4 linked regions of the Ovis aries genome follow. The protein of the gene in region 1 interacts with the protein of each later gene in a biochemical or structural test. Links are inferred from orthologs where the notes say so. Each region holds a gene or a part of one and is shown in the gene's direction. Other genes may lie near its edges. The genes, in order: MSN, LRRK2, ICAM3 and SPN.

Evidence for each region.
Region 2: of the proteins of MSN (region 1) and LRRK2, one has a biochemical effect on the other in vitro, tested with the Homo sapiens proteins (9 studies listed by IntAct). The link is inferred for Ovis aries from reciprocal best matches to the Homo sapiens genes MSN and LRRK2.
Region 3: the proteins of MSN (region 1) and ICAM3 form a complex in vitro, tested with the Homo sapiens proteins (2 studies listed by BioGRID). The link is inferred for Ovis aries from reciprocal best matches to the Homo sapiens genes MSN and ICAM3.
Region 4: the proteins of MSN (region 1) and SPN form a complex in vitro, tested with the Homo sapiens proteins (2 studies listed by BioGRID). The link is inferred for Ovis aries from reciprocal best matches to the Homo sapiens genes MSN and SPN.

The regions. Positions count from the first base shown.
Region 1 is NC_056080.1:48,036,958-48,040,522, forward strand, and holds part of MSN (moesin), read left to right. Parts: coding exon 1-122; intron 123-1,432; coding exon 1,433-1,516; intron 1,517-2,221; coding exon 2,222-2,368; intron 2,369-3,565. UniProt on the Homo sapiens protein: Ezrin-radixin-moesin (ERM) family protein that connects the actin cytoskeleton to the plasma membrane and thereby regulates the structure and function of specific domains of the cell cortex.
Region 2 is NC_056056.1:146,886,425-146,889,989, reverse strand, and holds part of LRRK2 (leucine-rich repeat serine/threonine-protein kinase 2), read left to right. Parts: intron 1-850; coding exon 851-1,005; intron 1,006-2,060; coding exon 2,061-2,207; intron 2,208-2,343; coding exon 2,344-2,535; intron 2,536-3,192; coding exon 3,193-3,339; intron 3,340-3,565. UniProt on the Homo sapiens protein: Serine/threonine-protein kinase which phosphorylates a broad range of proteins involved in multiple processes such as neuronal plasticity, innate immunity, autophagy, and vesicle trafficking.
Region 3 is NC_056058.1:12,721,775-12,725,775, reverse strand, and holds the start of ICAM3 (intercellular adhesion molecule 3), read left to right. Parts: upstream 1-1,185; 5' UTR 1,186-1,462; coding exon 1,463-1,544; intron 1,545-2,375; coding exon 2,376-2,642; intron 2,643-4,001. UniProt on the Homo sapiens protein: ICAM proteins are ligands for the leukocyte adhesion protein LFA-1 (integrin alpha-L/beta-2). ICAM3 is also a ligand for integrin alpha-D/beta-2. In association with integrin alpha-L/beta-2, contributes to apoptotic neutrophil phagocytosis by macrophages.
Region 4 is NC_056077.1:27,028,702-27,032,820, reverse strand, and holds the start of SPN (leukosialin), read left to right. Parts: upstream 1-1,313; 5' UTR 1,314-1,494; intron 1,495-1,624; exon of another isoform or gene 1,625-1,754; intron 1,755-2,035; 5' UTR 2,036-2,051; coding exon 2,052-3,383; 3' UTR 3,384-4,119. UniProt on the Homo sapiens protein: Predominant cell surface sialoprotein of leukocytes which regulates multiple T-cell functions, including T-cell activation, proliferation, differentiation, trafficking and migration.

The DNA.
Region 1 (3,565 bases):
TACTGCCCACCTGAGACTGCTGTGTTGCTGGCCTCCTATGCTGTCCAGTCCAAGTATGGTGACTTCAATAAGGAAGTCCACAAGTCTGGCTACTTGGCTGGGGACAAGTTGCTGCCACAGAGGTAAGGTGGTGTCCTGGTGATCTGCCCTGGTCAGAGTGAGCTGTGGCCCAAAGCTGATTGATTCTTATTATACAAGGGTTGCCACATCTGTCCCTCTCCACTAAGGTCTGTCTGAAGACCATGTTATGATGCTCAGACAGATATACTTGCGTATGGCACCATACTCTGTTCTTATTTCTCTGGTTCTCAAAATAAAACACTTTTTTCCCTCCTCTGTTTGCCTATTATAGAACTTCATTACTGTGGAAACAGGTGCTTATATTGAGAACCAGAGATGAATTGCTTCTCCTTGCCCCAGTTCCAATTTCTTGATCCTTTTCACTGATTTAGACTTCTTGTATCAGAGGTTCATTGGAGTGAGAAATACTTAAACCAGGGACATGGGGAGCTCAAAACAGTCTTTTAATATTGATACCCAGTATACAGAGATTTCTCCTTTTGTAAACTTCAAAACTGAACATTCTCAAATTCTAATTATTTTTATTTTAGCATCGCAACACACAGAATGAATAAGGCAGGCATAATCCTTATTTCCTGGCTAAGGAAACAGAGGTGCAGAGGTATTCACTCTGACCTGCTGAATCTCCCACAGCTCATTTGTGGCAACCTGGAACCCTAGTCTCTTGATTTTTTTTTTAACCCTACTGCATCCAATCACTATTTTATATAGGCTTTTAAATTGGAAGGAAAACTATGCTTCATTCCAGTAACCTCCATCGCAGTGGAGCTATAGCAAAATGTACAAATCACCTGAAGGTATTAGGGATAGTGGTTGTGCCCTGGCACTCTACATAAATCAGTCACTGCTATAATGTCTGAAATAGCATATTTAAAGCAAGCCTTGTTTATGATCTAGTAGATCTGAGAGTTATTGTTATGATATAATTACAACTGGGCCCATTTTACAGATAATAACAGTTGAACCTGTTAGTTTTTTCCCTAAACCATTTGAACTCAGTTCTCACTTCCATAGCCACAGGCTATATCTTATCCCTGAGCAGTAGTCTCACAAATGCAAACTATTGGCCCCACAGAGATCTAGGAGAGAGTATGCATGCCTCCATGAGGCCAATTTCTCCTCTTAGTCTCACAAATCAGCACAGTTGATATGTTACTGCTTTGCTTGATGACCACAGCACCTTATTGGATTTTTCTGGTTAAAGGTACAAAGGAAGATGTTCCCACTGTCCTTCTTGGTCACCCATTCTGTATGTCTCATACCCCTCAGGCACTTCCCTGTGTCTAGTTAATACCTCCTGCTATAATTTCAGTCTGCTTCTGGTGTAACTAACCCCACATTGTCTTTCCAGAGTCCTGGAGCAGCACAAGCTTAACAAGGACCAGTGGGAGGAAAGGATCCAGGTGTGGCATGAGGAGCACCGGGGCATGCTCAGGTAAGCCTACCCTAGGAACTGTGGACTCTATGCCCTTGCAAGGAGAATAAGAGTTGGTTCAGTGGGGAAGAAGCAGAGGCTAGGAACACTGGAGGATGTTGGAAAGAGACAGAAATGCAGTTTACAAGATGTAATTAGAAATGGAAGGCAAATCAGCACCATTATAAAACTGTGCTTTTTGTGGATGATGGGAGCTGATAGCCCAGATCAGGGGATCCTGAGATTTCCTCCCCTAGGGAGTTTCTGAGCCACAAGGGGCCCCTCTTCAAGAATGAAATGAGGAAGGATCTTTATGAACATGGCATACCATTTGGGAGATGTCTAATTGAAGAACGAATCTTTTCATTTTGTCATCACCATCTCATTTGGGCTCTGCTAATAATGTGCCTGTGTAAGAGGCTTCTGTGATAGCTAATATGCCAGAGGTCAGCAAGAGTCAGCCTGCCTTTATTCCCCTTGGGAATCTCAGACCTTAGGCTCCTATGAACATGTTTTGGCAGAAGTCACGTTTTGCTGTGTTAACCATCATCTGCTCACCTTCCATCCTCTTTTCAACCCCTTTTGGCAAGATTCTTGTCAGAAGTGGAGAGCAAGTAGGCTTTCTGTCTCCCTGGGTCTGATTCATAGGCTCCCTCCCCTTATTACTTGCCTCTTCTGCCCCCCGCGACCCCACCCCCCGCCACTGACTTCCATTCTGTTGTTTAGGGAGGATGCTGTCCTGGAGTATCTGAAGATTGCCCAGGATCTGGAGATGTATGGTGTGAACTACTTTAACATCAAGAACAAGAAAGGCTCAGAGCTATGGCTGGGGGTGGATGCCCTGGGTCTCAACATCTATGAGCAGAATGACAGGTATAGTTCAGAGCTCGCTTTTTAACTTTTTATTTTGTATTAGGGTATAACCAATTAACAAACAATGTTGTGATACTTTCAAGTGAGCAGTGAAGGGAATCAGCCATATATGTACATGTATTTATTCTCCCCCAAACTCCTTTCCTATCCAGGATGCCACATAACATTGAGCAGAGCTCCATGTTCCATACAGTAGGTCCTTGTTTGTTATCCATTTCAAACATAGCAGCATGTATATGTCCATGCCAAACTCCCTAACTATCCCTCCCCCCTGTCCTTCCCCTCTAAGAACCATAAGTTCCTTTTCTAAGTCTGAATCTATTTCTGTTTTGTAAGTAAGTTCATTTGTATTATTTCTTTTTAGATTCCACATATAAAAGATATCACATGATATTGCTCAGCTTGCTTACTTTTTTGGGCTACTTTGACACCTAGGACTTGACAAAGTATGATTTTACTTCCTGGGTCCCACCTGTATCATTCTTTTTCTACGTAGATTAGACCAGCCCAGATGATCACACAACCTCCCTCAAGCCTCTGAATCTTGGCATTGACTAGACTTTCACTGTCCACTGTGATATCTTCTGGCCACATGTAGCTGTTGAGCACTTGAAATGTGGCTGGTCTGAATTGAGATGTGCTATAAGTATAAACTACATTGAAGACTTAGTGTGAAAAAACAATATAAAATGTCTCATTAATGCATTTTTAATATTCATTTATATCTTCATGAATATTTACATGTTCAAAATACATGATAGGATTTTGCATATACTGGTTTAAGTGAACTGTTGTTATAGTTAATTCCACTCTGTTTCTTTTTACTTACATGTGGCTACTAGAAAATTTTAAATTGCATGTGTGATAATTTATATTTCTGTTGGATAGCACTGGTTTAAAACTCACCTTGTCAGGATTTGTAATTAATCTCACTTCATATGATGATTCAGTATTTTTTGACCTATAATCTCTCTTGCTAAAGGCTTATCTCACTAGCTTATTTTTTTCCCTTGGTTTTCTCTTGATGAGTATAAAGATCAATATATTATTGTTTTGTGTAATTTCTGAGTCTTGGAACTCATTATTTACTGTCCTCTTAGATTTTACAACCTTGAGTAGAAGAAATCCAGTGAAGTAAGGCTGGTGATTCTTTGAGAGATTGTTACAAGGTCCATGCCTCAACAAAAAATAAAGCAA
Region 2 (3,565 bases), on another chromosome or scaffold:
TTAAAAATTTAATTACTCTATGGAAATTTACCATATATTCTTTTAGTTGTGAAAGTAACTTTGGTCTATGATGAATGTGCTAATTTTTTCCTTCTTGTGTAAACTTTGTACTGGAGTATAGCATTTTCTTTTGGTGAAGACTACATTTGACATTTTAAAGATGTAAATGATTTTATATATATAATTATTATTTGATTTGACAATGCTCAGTTTATTTAAGAAAGGTTAATAGTGGAGATTAGAGAGTGTTTGTGTTGCTGTGTGTGTATGTATGTTCCTCATATGATATTGAAGGAGTTATTAGGCAGATTCTGGAGAAATGGTGATTTTTCAACAGAGTCTTTAAATAATTTATGACTGTGAATTTTCAGAGGATATGGCCAACACAAGGAGTCCTAAATTCTAGCACTGTGTTGTAGAAATTTTTCTTACTGCCTTATAAAACCTGGGAAATGTTATAAAGTAAATGACATTGAAAAGTACAAATTGCAATGATTGATGGATGGTAACTAATTCTAAACACAGATATACACTTGATTCTAGGATATACATATTTTAAAGTTTTATGTAATCCCTTTACTTATTATACATAACTATAATAATTTATTTATAATGTAAATAGGATTACTGAAAAATCTTTATACATCACTTTATCTGAGCATGATTTGAATTGATTAACCATTAAATTTTGAAGTAGGAAGAGTATGTAGCAAAATAACATTACTAAAAAATAAAGTTGCTTAGAATATTTATCATCATCAATTCATTGATTTCAAGTAGTAAAGCACTCTGGTCAGCATGGTTGGGCGTTTTCTGAAGCTATATAATGATAGTGTGCTTTTATCTTTAGTTTGTCTGACCACAGGCCTGTAATAGAGCTTCCCCATTGTGAGAACTCTGAAATTATCATTCGACTGTATGAAATGCCTTATTTTCCAATGGGCTTTTGGTCAAGATTAATCAATCGGTTGCTTGAAATTTCACCTTACATGCTTTCAGGAAGAGGTATGTATTTAATGAAGAATTAATATTTGGAGAAGATAGTTAGAAAGCATATTAAAATTAATATGTCATTTTCCTAGAGTTTACTGGCTTGTAATGCAGCTGAAAATCAGGAAATAAGCTCAAAAGACCTCAGCATGGCCAATATAAAAATATACACAGATAAATTCATGAAATTTGTTAAGAATAAAATTCCTCAAAGTCCACGTGTACTTATTTTAGGCACATTTACAATGTGTATGAATATCTTGCTTTGCAAGCCAAAGCAGACTAGAAGCAGCAGTTTTAAAAGATGAAATTACAGAGTCACTGGCGTAAAAACACCTATCTCCCTGCACGTACACACAAATACGCATGCACGCGTGGAGAAATTAAAAACTAGAAATGACCACCCCCTCAGTCAGGGAGTTTTGTTTAATAGAGTAACAGGTCCTAACCATTCTCTGTGGGGACTACAATAGCTCTATTCTGCTGCATGGTCCCTGAGAGGTTTACAAAAAAGAATAAAGACTTTATCTTGCTATAATTATAAATGACAATGCTAGATCTTCCTCCTGGAAGAAAGAGAGATATTAGTGCTCCAAGGGGGAAAATATAATTTTTCTGTTTTGTGCTTAAAAGCAGCTTTATGGAGATGGTACTGTATTCTGAAATAAACCTTATCTTGCTTGCAGTTAATCAACATACAGATAGTTACATCACATCAAAGTGTTGATTTTAGCATTACCACCAACCTCTTTTTAAAAATTATGGGAACCTGTTTATGATTCTCTTTTTCATCTATTACATATGTTAAACTGCTTGACACCATCAACCTGAAATCTGTCTTAGGTAATCTACTGGGCATTTGTTTGTTTCATTTCAAAATTGAGGACAAAATATTTAATATTATATTTAACAGATAACATATCATTAACAATTCCAGTACTTTCCTTCAAAACAAATACATCTCTGTTACTGTCACTTGTAATATGTGCAGTGATTTTTTTTTTCCCCTACAGTTTATGGAACAACAAATAATTAATAGCTATATTTGGGTTCTTTTAAATTTCTTTCAGAACGAGCACTTCGCCCAAATAGAATGTACTGGCGACAAGGCATTTACTTGAATTGGTCTCCTGAAGCTTACTGCTTGGTAGGATCTGAAGTTTTAGATCATCACCCAGAGAGTTTCTTAAAAATTACAGTTCCCTCTTGTAGAAAAGGTAAGGAAATTAATTCAAAACGGAATTGTACCACTAAAGAAATCTAAACTTTTAAAAAGTTTCTATAGTTCTTTTCAATTTGTGACAGGATAAGGTTCAGCTAGGATGTTAATCAAGTTTTCTTTGGATTACATAGGCTGTATTCTTTTGGGCCAAGTTGTGGACCACATTGATTCTCTCATGGAAGAGTGGTTTCCTGGATTACTGGAGATTGATATTTGCGGTGAAGGAGAAACTCTGCTGAAGAAATGGGCATTATATAGTTTTAATGATGGTGAAGAGCATCAAAAAATATTGCTTGACAACTTGATGAAGAAAGCAGAAGAAGGTATGTATGTGTTGACGCAACTTACAAATGCTTTTAAGTGATTCTTTCAATATTTGCGAAGTGAGTTTTGAAATAAATGTAAAAATGGATTGCTCTTATTTACAAGGGATAAGTTAGAGGATACTATATTCAATTATAGTTAACAGTTCAGAAAAATATATTTATTGCCAGTAAGATCTTATACTTTAGATTCAGAAAAAATGTTGGTGTGAGAGTTTGAATACTGGCTACTGGGCAATGATATGTCATCTGTGAAGTGAGATTATTAACCAAAACTATGCCATACAATTGTTATGAAGATTAGAATAGATGATACATGGATGTAACTTAGTAATGTCAGCCATATGCTGTGTTCCATGAATGTTGTGAAAGTAAAGAATATATAATTTCCTAGTCATATATCAATAGCCTAGGCAGTTCTGAGTTCTACTTTCTAGTGAGTGAACCTAGGAATGAGTTTTTAAACTTCCAAATAGAGAGTAACTCAACTTTTAAAACATTCTCAAATTTTCTAGAGAAAAATAAGATTGGAAAGTGAACCTAAGAGTGATTGGAACGCATAGACAATATGTGATTATTTCTGTAAATCAAAAGGACAAATTTATGTACAATCTTAAAGGTTTATCTTTAAAAAAAAATGTTTTATGTACTTCTCAGGAGACCTCCTAGTAAATCCAGATCAACCAAGACTCACAATTCCAATATCTCAGATTGCTCCTGATTTGATTTTGGCTGATCTGCCTAGAAATATTATGTTGAATAATGATGAATTGGAATTTGAACAAGCTCCAGAGTTTCTCTTAGGTAACTGTTTTTGTTGGTTTGAGAATAAAAATTAGGGTATGGTTTTATAATCTAGCAAATATTCACATATAATTACATTGTCATAGTTTTTAGTATCTTCATATATTTTTGTAATTTTTTTCTTTGGGATAATATATTTTAAAGTAACGTGTTACAAATCTGGAATTTGCTTTGCTTGCACACATTTGTACTCTAGGTTTCCATCTCTGTGGAAGCACAGGTATTT
Region 3 (4,001 bases), on another chromosome or scaffold:
ATCAAGGTCCTCAAGGAGGTCCCTCTCTGGAGCTCAGATCAGAGGCACGGGAGGCAGGTCACAGGCCTGAGAGAGGGAGCTGATGGAGTAGGAGTGCCCACCTCTCTCTCTCTCTTTCTCACTCACACACACACACACACACACACACACACACACACACACGTGTCCCTTCTCTTGGGATGAGGAGACCAGCTACCTGGAGGAAAAGGGCAAGAGGGATGAAGACAGGGATAAGAACTCAGTTGAAAGTATCCCCCTTGGCAGACGGTGGCTCAAGATTTAGCTGTCCCTGAAACGCTCCACCTCAGCACCGCATGCAAGCAATGGGAGAGCACCCGGAGATCTTCAAAGACTTGTTGTTCAGTCACTCAGTCGTGTCTGACTCTGTGACTCCTTGGACTGCAGCATGCCAGGCTCCTCTGTCCTTCCCTGTCTCCCAGAGTTGGCTCAAATTCATGTTCATTGAGTTGGTGATGCTATCTAACCACTTCATCCTCTGCCGCCCCCTTCTCCTGCCTTCAGTCTTGCCCAGCATCAAGGTCTTTTCCAATGAGTTGGCTCTTCACATTAGGTAGCCAAAGTATCGGAGCTTCAGCATCATTCCTTCCAATGAATATTCAGGGTTGATTTCCTTTAGATTGACTGGTTTGATCTCCTTGCAGTCCACGGGACTCTCAAGAGTCTTCTCCAACACCGCAGTTTGAAAGCATCAATTCTTCTGCACTCAGCCTCCTTTATGGTCCAATCCTCACATCTGTACATGACAACTGGAAACATAAGGAGCCTATAGAAGTCACTCTGGCAGCCAACAGAGAGCCCGGCACAAGTCCCCAGTAAATGTGGGCTCTGTTCACTGTCACAGTTTTACTCATCATAGGGGATCCTTCATTGTCACCCCCCCCCCAAATCGTTTATTTGCCTCCCAGGAACGTTGAGATCTCTTGTTAACTCTTTGAAGCCCTGCCCAGAAGTCTGCCCATTGTTCCCTCCTTGAAACGTCACCTCGAAATCCCACCCCTTTTCCTTCAAGGCCAGTGTGCAGATATCCCCATTAACTTCCTCTTTGGGAACAAAACAGCCTTTTTCACCTAAGTTCAACAGGAAGGGGAGATGTCTTTCACCCCTGCCCCCCTCCAGGCTTTCCAGTACTGAGAAAAAAGGAAGCTGCTTGCACTAGCGCTTCCTGTGGGTTGATCTGGGGACAAGGAGTGTAACCGAGGTTTGCCCTCTGAGACTCCTAGGAGACTCGCCAGCACGCTCCATTTTCCTGAGACCCTCACTGTGGACTCCCAGGGGGTGGCATAAAATATTCCCCTACCCTTCCCTCATCCTGGGCAAGGTGTGGCCCCTGGACTGCTGCATTCTTAGCTGCAGTGACGGTTCTTCCTTCCCCTGGAGGTCCTGCCTGTTCACCGGTGCACAGCTCTTCATTAAGGGAACTTCCGCCTCCAGGCTGAGCACCATGATGCCCTCAGGGCCACCGCCCAGGGTCTACTGGACTTCGCTCATCTTTCTGCTTCTTGCCTGCTGTCAGTTGCCCACAGGTGAGGCCCAGTGAGCTGGGGAGGGCTGGAGATGGGGGGTTGCTGGGGAGGGGAAGGAGAACAGTGCACCTCACACCCTGCTGCCCAGGGCTGCGGCAACACTTCTTTGACTCAGATCTGTCAGGGGGCTTCCCAGTATCCTTGGGGAAAAATGGTGGCTCCTTAACTCAGCCTTCAGGGCTCCCTGAGGCCAGGTTCCTGCCTTTCACTTGTTCCCTGCCCCCTTCACAGCATAGACACTTACCCACCCAAACACTCAAGTGAAAGTGAAAGTGAAGTCGCTCAGTTGTGTCCGACTCTTTGCAACCCTGTGGATTGTGGCCTACCAAGTTGCTCCAACCATGGGATTCTCCAGGCAAGAATACTGGAGTGGGTTGCCATTTCCTTCTCCAGGAGATCTTCCCAACCCAGGGATTGAACCCGGGTCTCCCGCACTGCAGGCAGACGCTTTACCATCTGAGCCACCACTCATGCCTGCACTTATTCGCTCCCTGCTCCATCCGGACTCATGACCTCTGCCTATGTTCTTCAGTCTGCCAGGATCCCTCTTGCCTTTCACTTGGCTAAATCCTCCTTGACCCTTTAAAAGAGACCGTAGTGGTTCCCTCCAGGAACCCTTTCCTGACTCACTTCCTCCTGGCCTCCTTCTCAACTCTCCTTGGTTCCTGATCCATCATCTGTCTTTCCCACTAAACTGAAACACCGCCGAAGGCAGAGACCTTCCTATCTTGGCTGGTGGGAGTGGGGGGGGGGGTGGCGTTGAAGGATGGAACCTGCAGCTGGGTGGGCTGGGGGGCACTGGAGCCCCCAGCAGAGACTCTGTTCATGCAGGTGCCCAGGGACAGACGTACCAGTTACGAGTGGAACCGAAGGACCCAGTGGTGCCTTTTGGAAAGCCCCTTGTGGTAAACTGCAGCTTAGATTGCCCCAGCCCTGGATTAATCTCCCTGGAGACAGCCCTCTCCAAGGAGCACCACAGCAGGGGCCTGGGCTGGGCAGCCTTCCGCCTCACCAACGTGACTGGTGACACAGAGCTTCTCTGCTCTGGCCTCTGCGATAAGTCCCAGGTGGTGGGTTTCTCTAAAATCACAGTGTATGGTGAGTAGGCGTGGCTGGAGGTGGGATGGCCTTGGGCAGTGGTGGGGGTAGATGACCAATGGTGCAGAGGAGCAAGGTGGGGCTGGGGCCCTGAATTTGCACAAATGGACCAGGACACTCAGTCAGAGCTCAGAACTGGGGGTGTGTGTGTGAGAGAGAGAGAGAGACAAAGTCAGAGATAGAGGGGTACATCTCAACTGCATGCCAAAGCAGCAGCTGTGAAACCAACTCCTTTGGTTCTCAATAAGCATTTTGTATGTGTGCATGCATGCTAAGTTGCCTCAGTCATGTCCAACTCTTTGTGATCCCATGGACTGTAGCCCGCCAGGCTCCTCTGTCCATGGGATTCTCCAGACAAGAGTACTGGAGTGGGTTGCTGTGCTCTCCTCCAGGGGAATCTTCCTGACCCAGGGATCCAACCTGCATTTCTTGAGTCTCTGGTATTGGCAGGTGGGTTCTTTACCACTAGTGCCACCTGGGAAGCCCAATAAGCATTTTAAAAATGATAGTTCAGGAATTCCTTGGTGGTCCAGTGGTTAGGACTCCAGGCTTTCACTGCCAAGGGCCTGGGTTCAATCTCTAGTCAAGGAACTAAAACCATGGAACACTCTCAGTATGGCCAAAAAAAAGGACATGTCTTTTACTCAATTTTTAAAATTTATTTTAATATAGTTATTTATTTATCTTGTTTGGCTGTTAGGTCTTAGTTGCAGCCCACGGGATCTTTCTTCGTGGTGCACAGACTCTAACTGTGGCACGTGGGCTTCAGCAGTTGTGACATGCGGGCTCTGGAGCGCATGTGGCTCTCGGGCTTCGTTGCTCTGTGGCATAGGGAATTTTAGTTCCCCAACCAGGGATTGACCTCGTGTCCCCTGAATTGCAAGGCAGATTCTTAACCACTGGACTACCAAGGAAGTCCCTACTTTTTCTTTTTTGTGTGTGTATTTACTTATTTATTTGGCTGCACTGGGTCTTAGTTGTGGCAGGCAGGAGGTAGGACCTAGTTCCCTGACCGGGGATTGAACCCCTGTGCATTGGGAGGATGGAGTCTTAGCCACTGGACCACCAGGGAAATCCCTTACTGCTTTTATTTTTATGACAGGTAATAAATTCATGTGGTTCCCAAATTTTAAAGTATTTAAAAAAAAGGGGGGGTCAGTGTCAAGTCTCCATTTACCTAGTGTGGGCTGTGAGTGGCTGTTGTTTTTAGTGTGGACGCATAGGTGCTCACCCAAAAGCCCTTATGAAAGCCTGGGCTGGGGAGGTACACTTATGAGCCTCATTTCACAGAGAGGAAACTGAGGCTCAGTCACTTGCCAGGGTCCGTGAGCAGAGATGCCTGGAGTCCAGGTCTCAAAT
Region 4 (4,119 bases), on another chromosome or scaffold:
GGATGGAGGAGCCTCGCGGGCTACAGTCCATGTGGTCATAAAGAGTTGGACAGGACTGAGTGATTGAGCACAACATAAATACCAGTTTTGATTTTTTAAAAAAAGAAAGGTAAAAAAAGAAAAAAAATCATATATATATACCAAAAGTCAAGGAAAGTGAAAAAACAGCAACCACCCAAAGAAGAAAATAGAGAACTCTGCTCATTCCTACCCAACAAATTTGTTAATCCCTCTGTAGATATCTTTTCAGTGTCTTCCATGTAGATTCCCACATTTTTATTAGTCTTTTGCAAAAATAAGATTATAGCATAATGGGAGGGGGCTCAAGAGTGAGGGGATATATGTATACTTAATAGCTGATTCATGTTGTTGTACAGCAGAATGCAACGTGACATTGTAAAGCAATTATCCTCCAATTAAAATGAAAAAAAGGAGGGTGCTTTCCTGGTGGCTCAGTGGTAAAGAATCCACTTGCTAATGCAGGAGGCACAGGTTTGATCCCTAATCTGGGAAGATCCCACATGCTGTGGACCAACTAAAGCCCATACACCACAACTATTCAGCCTGTGCTCTAGAGCCCCGGAGGTGTAGCTACTGAGCCCACGTGTGGCAACTACTAAAGCCCGCGTGCCCTAGAGCCCGTGCTCCACAACAAGAGAAGCCACCGTAGTGAAAAGCTCAAGTACCACTCCCTGGAGAGTAGCCCCTGCTCGCTGCAACTAGAAAAAAGCCTGTGTAGCAACAAAGACCCAGCACAGGTAAAAGTGATTAAATAAATACAAAGTTTCAAAAATTAAAAAAATAAGATCATAGCATGCTGCTGCTGCTGCTGCTAAGTCGCTTCAGTCGTGTCCAACTCTGTGCGACCCCAGAGCCGGCAGCCCACCAGGTTCCCCCGTCCCTGGGATTCTCCAGGCAAGAACACTGGAGTGGGTTGCCATTTCCTTCTCCAATGCAGGAAAGTGAAAAGTGAAAGTGAAGTCGCTCAGTCGTGTCCGACTCCTAGTGACCCCATGGACTGCATATTCAGTGCTCAATAACCACTTTGGTTTAGTCAGGCAGTCCATGCCTGGGGCTGTTGTGGTAACCACCCCCAGCTTCTTGAGAAGTCCAGAGCCCACCAGGAATTTCATGCAGCCTGCAAAGGCTCTCACTGCCCCCAGCCAGAGTCAAGGGCTTCCTCTTGCCCTGGTATTTCCTGGGAGCTCCTGGGGCAGAAGACGTGCTAGCCTTGGGGGCGCACCTAACAGCCTGGGGACCACAAAGGCAAAGGAAACCGCCTTCCCCTCCCATCTCCTCCTCCACACCCCTTTGTTTTCAAGCACCCATCTCCACCAGCTCTGCTGTGACCCCTATACCTGTTCCAGAGTCACCAACTTGCCATCCCATTTTCCAGTGAAGATCTAGGAATCCCCATTCCAGAACCCACCCACCATCCCCACCTGCTGTAGCTGAGACCTCAGAGCCCCTGTCATCACCTGGGACCCTCAAAAAGTGAGTGATGCCTCTCTCATCACAGGGCAATGTAGGAGCGGGGAGGGTGGGGCAGGATGCTGGAGTGGGTGGAGCCAGGGCCACTTCCTTTCCCCTTGGGGCCCCTGACCGCCAGTCTTGCCCCAGCTTCAGGAGGAGTTGGAGCAGCCTGGTCGCAGCCCTGTGCCCTTTTCAAGTGAGCTGGTAAGCAGCGGGACGTGGTGGGGCAGGGGCCTCGGTGGACCTGGGAATGTGCCTCTGGCTTGAGAAGACCTTGCCAGGTAATGGGAAAAAAGGACGAGGAGCCATCGGAGCTGCATGCGGTCAGGGCAGGGCAGGATGGGATGGCAATGGCTACAGCGCGCCGAGGGGTCCTGAGGGATAGAGTTGATGGGGGTGCAGCCAGTATCTTGTTATTTCTGACACTAGTGAAAGCAAGGGTGGAAAAAGCCGTTGAACCGGCAGTTGGCAGGGAAGTGGGCAGGAGGGGAGGGCCTGGCTCGGTCCTCCCCCTACCCACAGATCCTTATGTGCTCTACTTCTCCAACTTCCCCACCCTCAGGTCCCAACTCCTGCTCATGCCTTTTGCTTTGGAAATGATCCTGCTTCTCGTCCTCTTCGGGAGCATGAGGGTGGAAAACCTGGCTGAAGTGTCTCCAAGCAGCTCTCCTTTGTGGATATCTAAACCCACAACAGACTTTCTTTCTTCTTCGGTCTCTGGGAAGCCAACAGTCAACTCAGTGACTACCAGTCTTACAACAAACAAGGTCTCTAAGATGAGTGATAACCTTGAGCACCAGACCTTCCCACCTTCCTATATACCCAATGTGGTGTCCTCTCTTGAAACTTCCCCTGCTGCCAGCAGGGACAGTCCTGTATCTGAGTCAACAATATCCCAGGAAGATTCAACCGAGAAGTCAACAATGCCCATGAAAATCTCTGATACCCCCAGCATACCTGGTGTCTCAGTAATGAAACCTACAGGACTCCCTACTATGACTGGTGAAACCATGGCAACTAGCCCTCTGGATACCTCCAATGGGACCAGTGGAACCCCTGTCACCATGGCAACTAACCCTCTGGAGACCTCCAATGGGACCAGTGGAACCCCTGTCACCATGGCAACTAGCCCTCTGGAGACCTCCAGTGAGACCAGCAAAGTCCTATTAACTATGGCAACTAGCTCTCTGGAGATCTCTGGTGGGACCAGCAGACCTCCTGTCACCATGGCAACAAGCTCTCTGAAGACCATCAGTATGACCAGTGGATCCCCTGTCATCATGAAAACTGGCCCTCCTAAGACCTCCAAGGGGACCAGTGGACTCCTGATCACCATGCCAGCTACCTCTCTCAAGACTCCCATGGGGACCAGTGGCCCCACTAGCCGTGGCGTAACAACATCCAGCCCAAATACCTCCGCAAACATAAGCAGGAGGGACAAACTAATTCCAGCTCAGGGGACAAACGGCACCCTGCTGGTGGTTGTGCTCGTGGCCCTGCTGGTGGTCGTTGTCCTCGTGGCATCAGCCCTGTTGTGGTTCCGGCGGCAGAAGCGGAAGACGGGAGTCCTGACACTGAGCAGAAGTGGAAAACGCAACGGGGTGGTAGATGCCTGGGCTGGGGTCGCCCGGGTGTCTGATGAGGAGGCCATGACAGCGACAGAGGGAGCGTCTGGGGGGAACAATGACTCTGATGGCCCCCGCAGGGAGGGCTCTGGCCAGCGACCCACACTCACCACTTTCTTTGGTAGACGGAAGTCTCGCCAGGGCTCCATGGCGCTGGAGGAGCTAAAGGCAGGGGCAGCCTCCAGCTTAAAGGGGGAAGAGGAGCCGCTGGTGTGCAAAGAGGATGAGGGTGCAGAGGCCCCTACTTCTAATGGGCCAGAAGTGAGAGAGGTGGAGACCCCTTAATGCTCAAGAATCTCAAGGCTAGAGTTTAGAACCATTCCTGCTTTTATCACCTTCCCTCCCATCATCACCAAGAGGTTGATATCCAGCCTCCTCATCCGTCACCCAGCATTTTCACCCAGCGCTTTTTGGATTTTAATACAGCATCTTCACCCTCAATCTTCATTCAGCTTCTTAACCCTGGCTCTTCTAGCCAGCATTCACCCAGCATCCACCCCCAGCACCCAGACCAGGGCCTACACCCACTGAACACTTGCAGATGGAACAAATGAAACTTCCTCATCAACCCCTACTTCTCCCCATCACATTTTCTTCACATTTTGGTCCTTGAAACTAGCTGCCGAGTCTCTGGAAATGCCAGACTTCCTGGATTGATGATTTCTCAGCTGATTCCCCACAAATATCAGGGAAGAAGGAATTGGCAACCCAGCAACCTCCCACTTCAGGATTACTCTGGAAAGTACATAATGGCCCCATGGATTGGGACATTTGTAGTGGATTAGCCCATGAATTGCCTGTAACTCTGGGTGCCACTGGTCTGTGCCAGGCTGGCCCAGAGCATGGGCTGGATGGCGTCACCTTGGGGTGCTTTCAGTGTATCTGTGACAGCCCCAGGCCCCTAGACTGGCCCATGGTCCCAGCTGCCACACTCCCCCCAACTCTGGATGGAGGCGGCCAGAGGCTTCGGTTGTTTCTCCTCCCAAGAGCAGAGGTGAGAAGTTTCTGGGCAGGTGTAGTT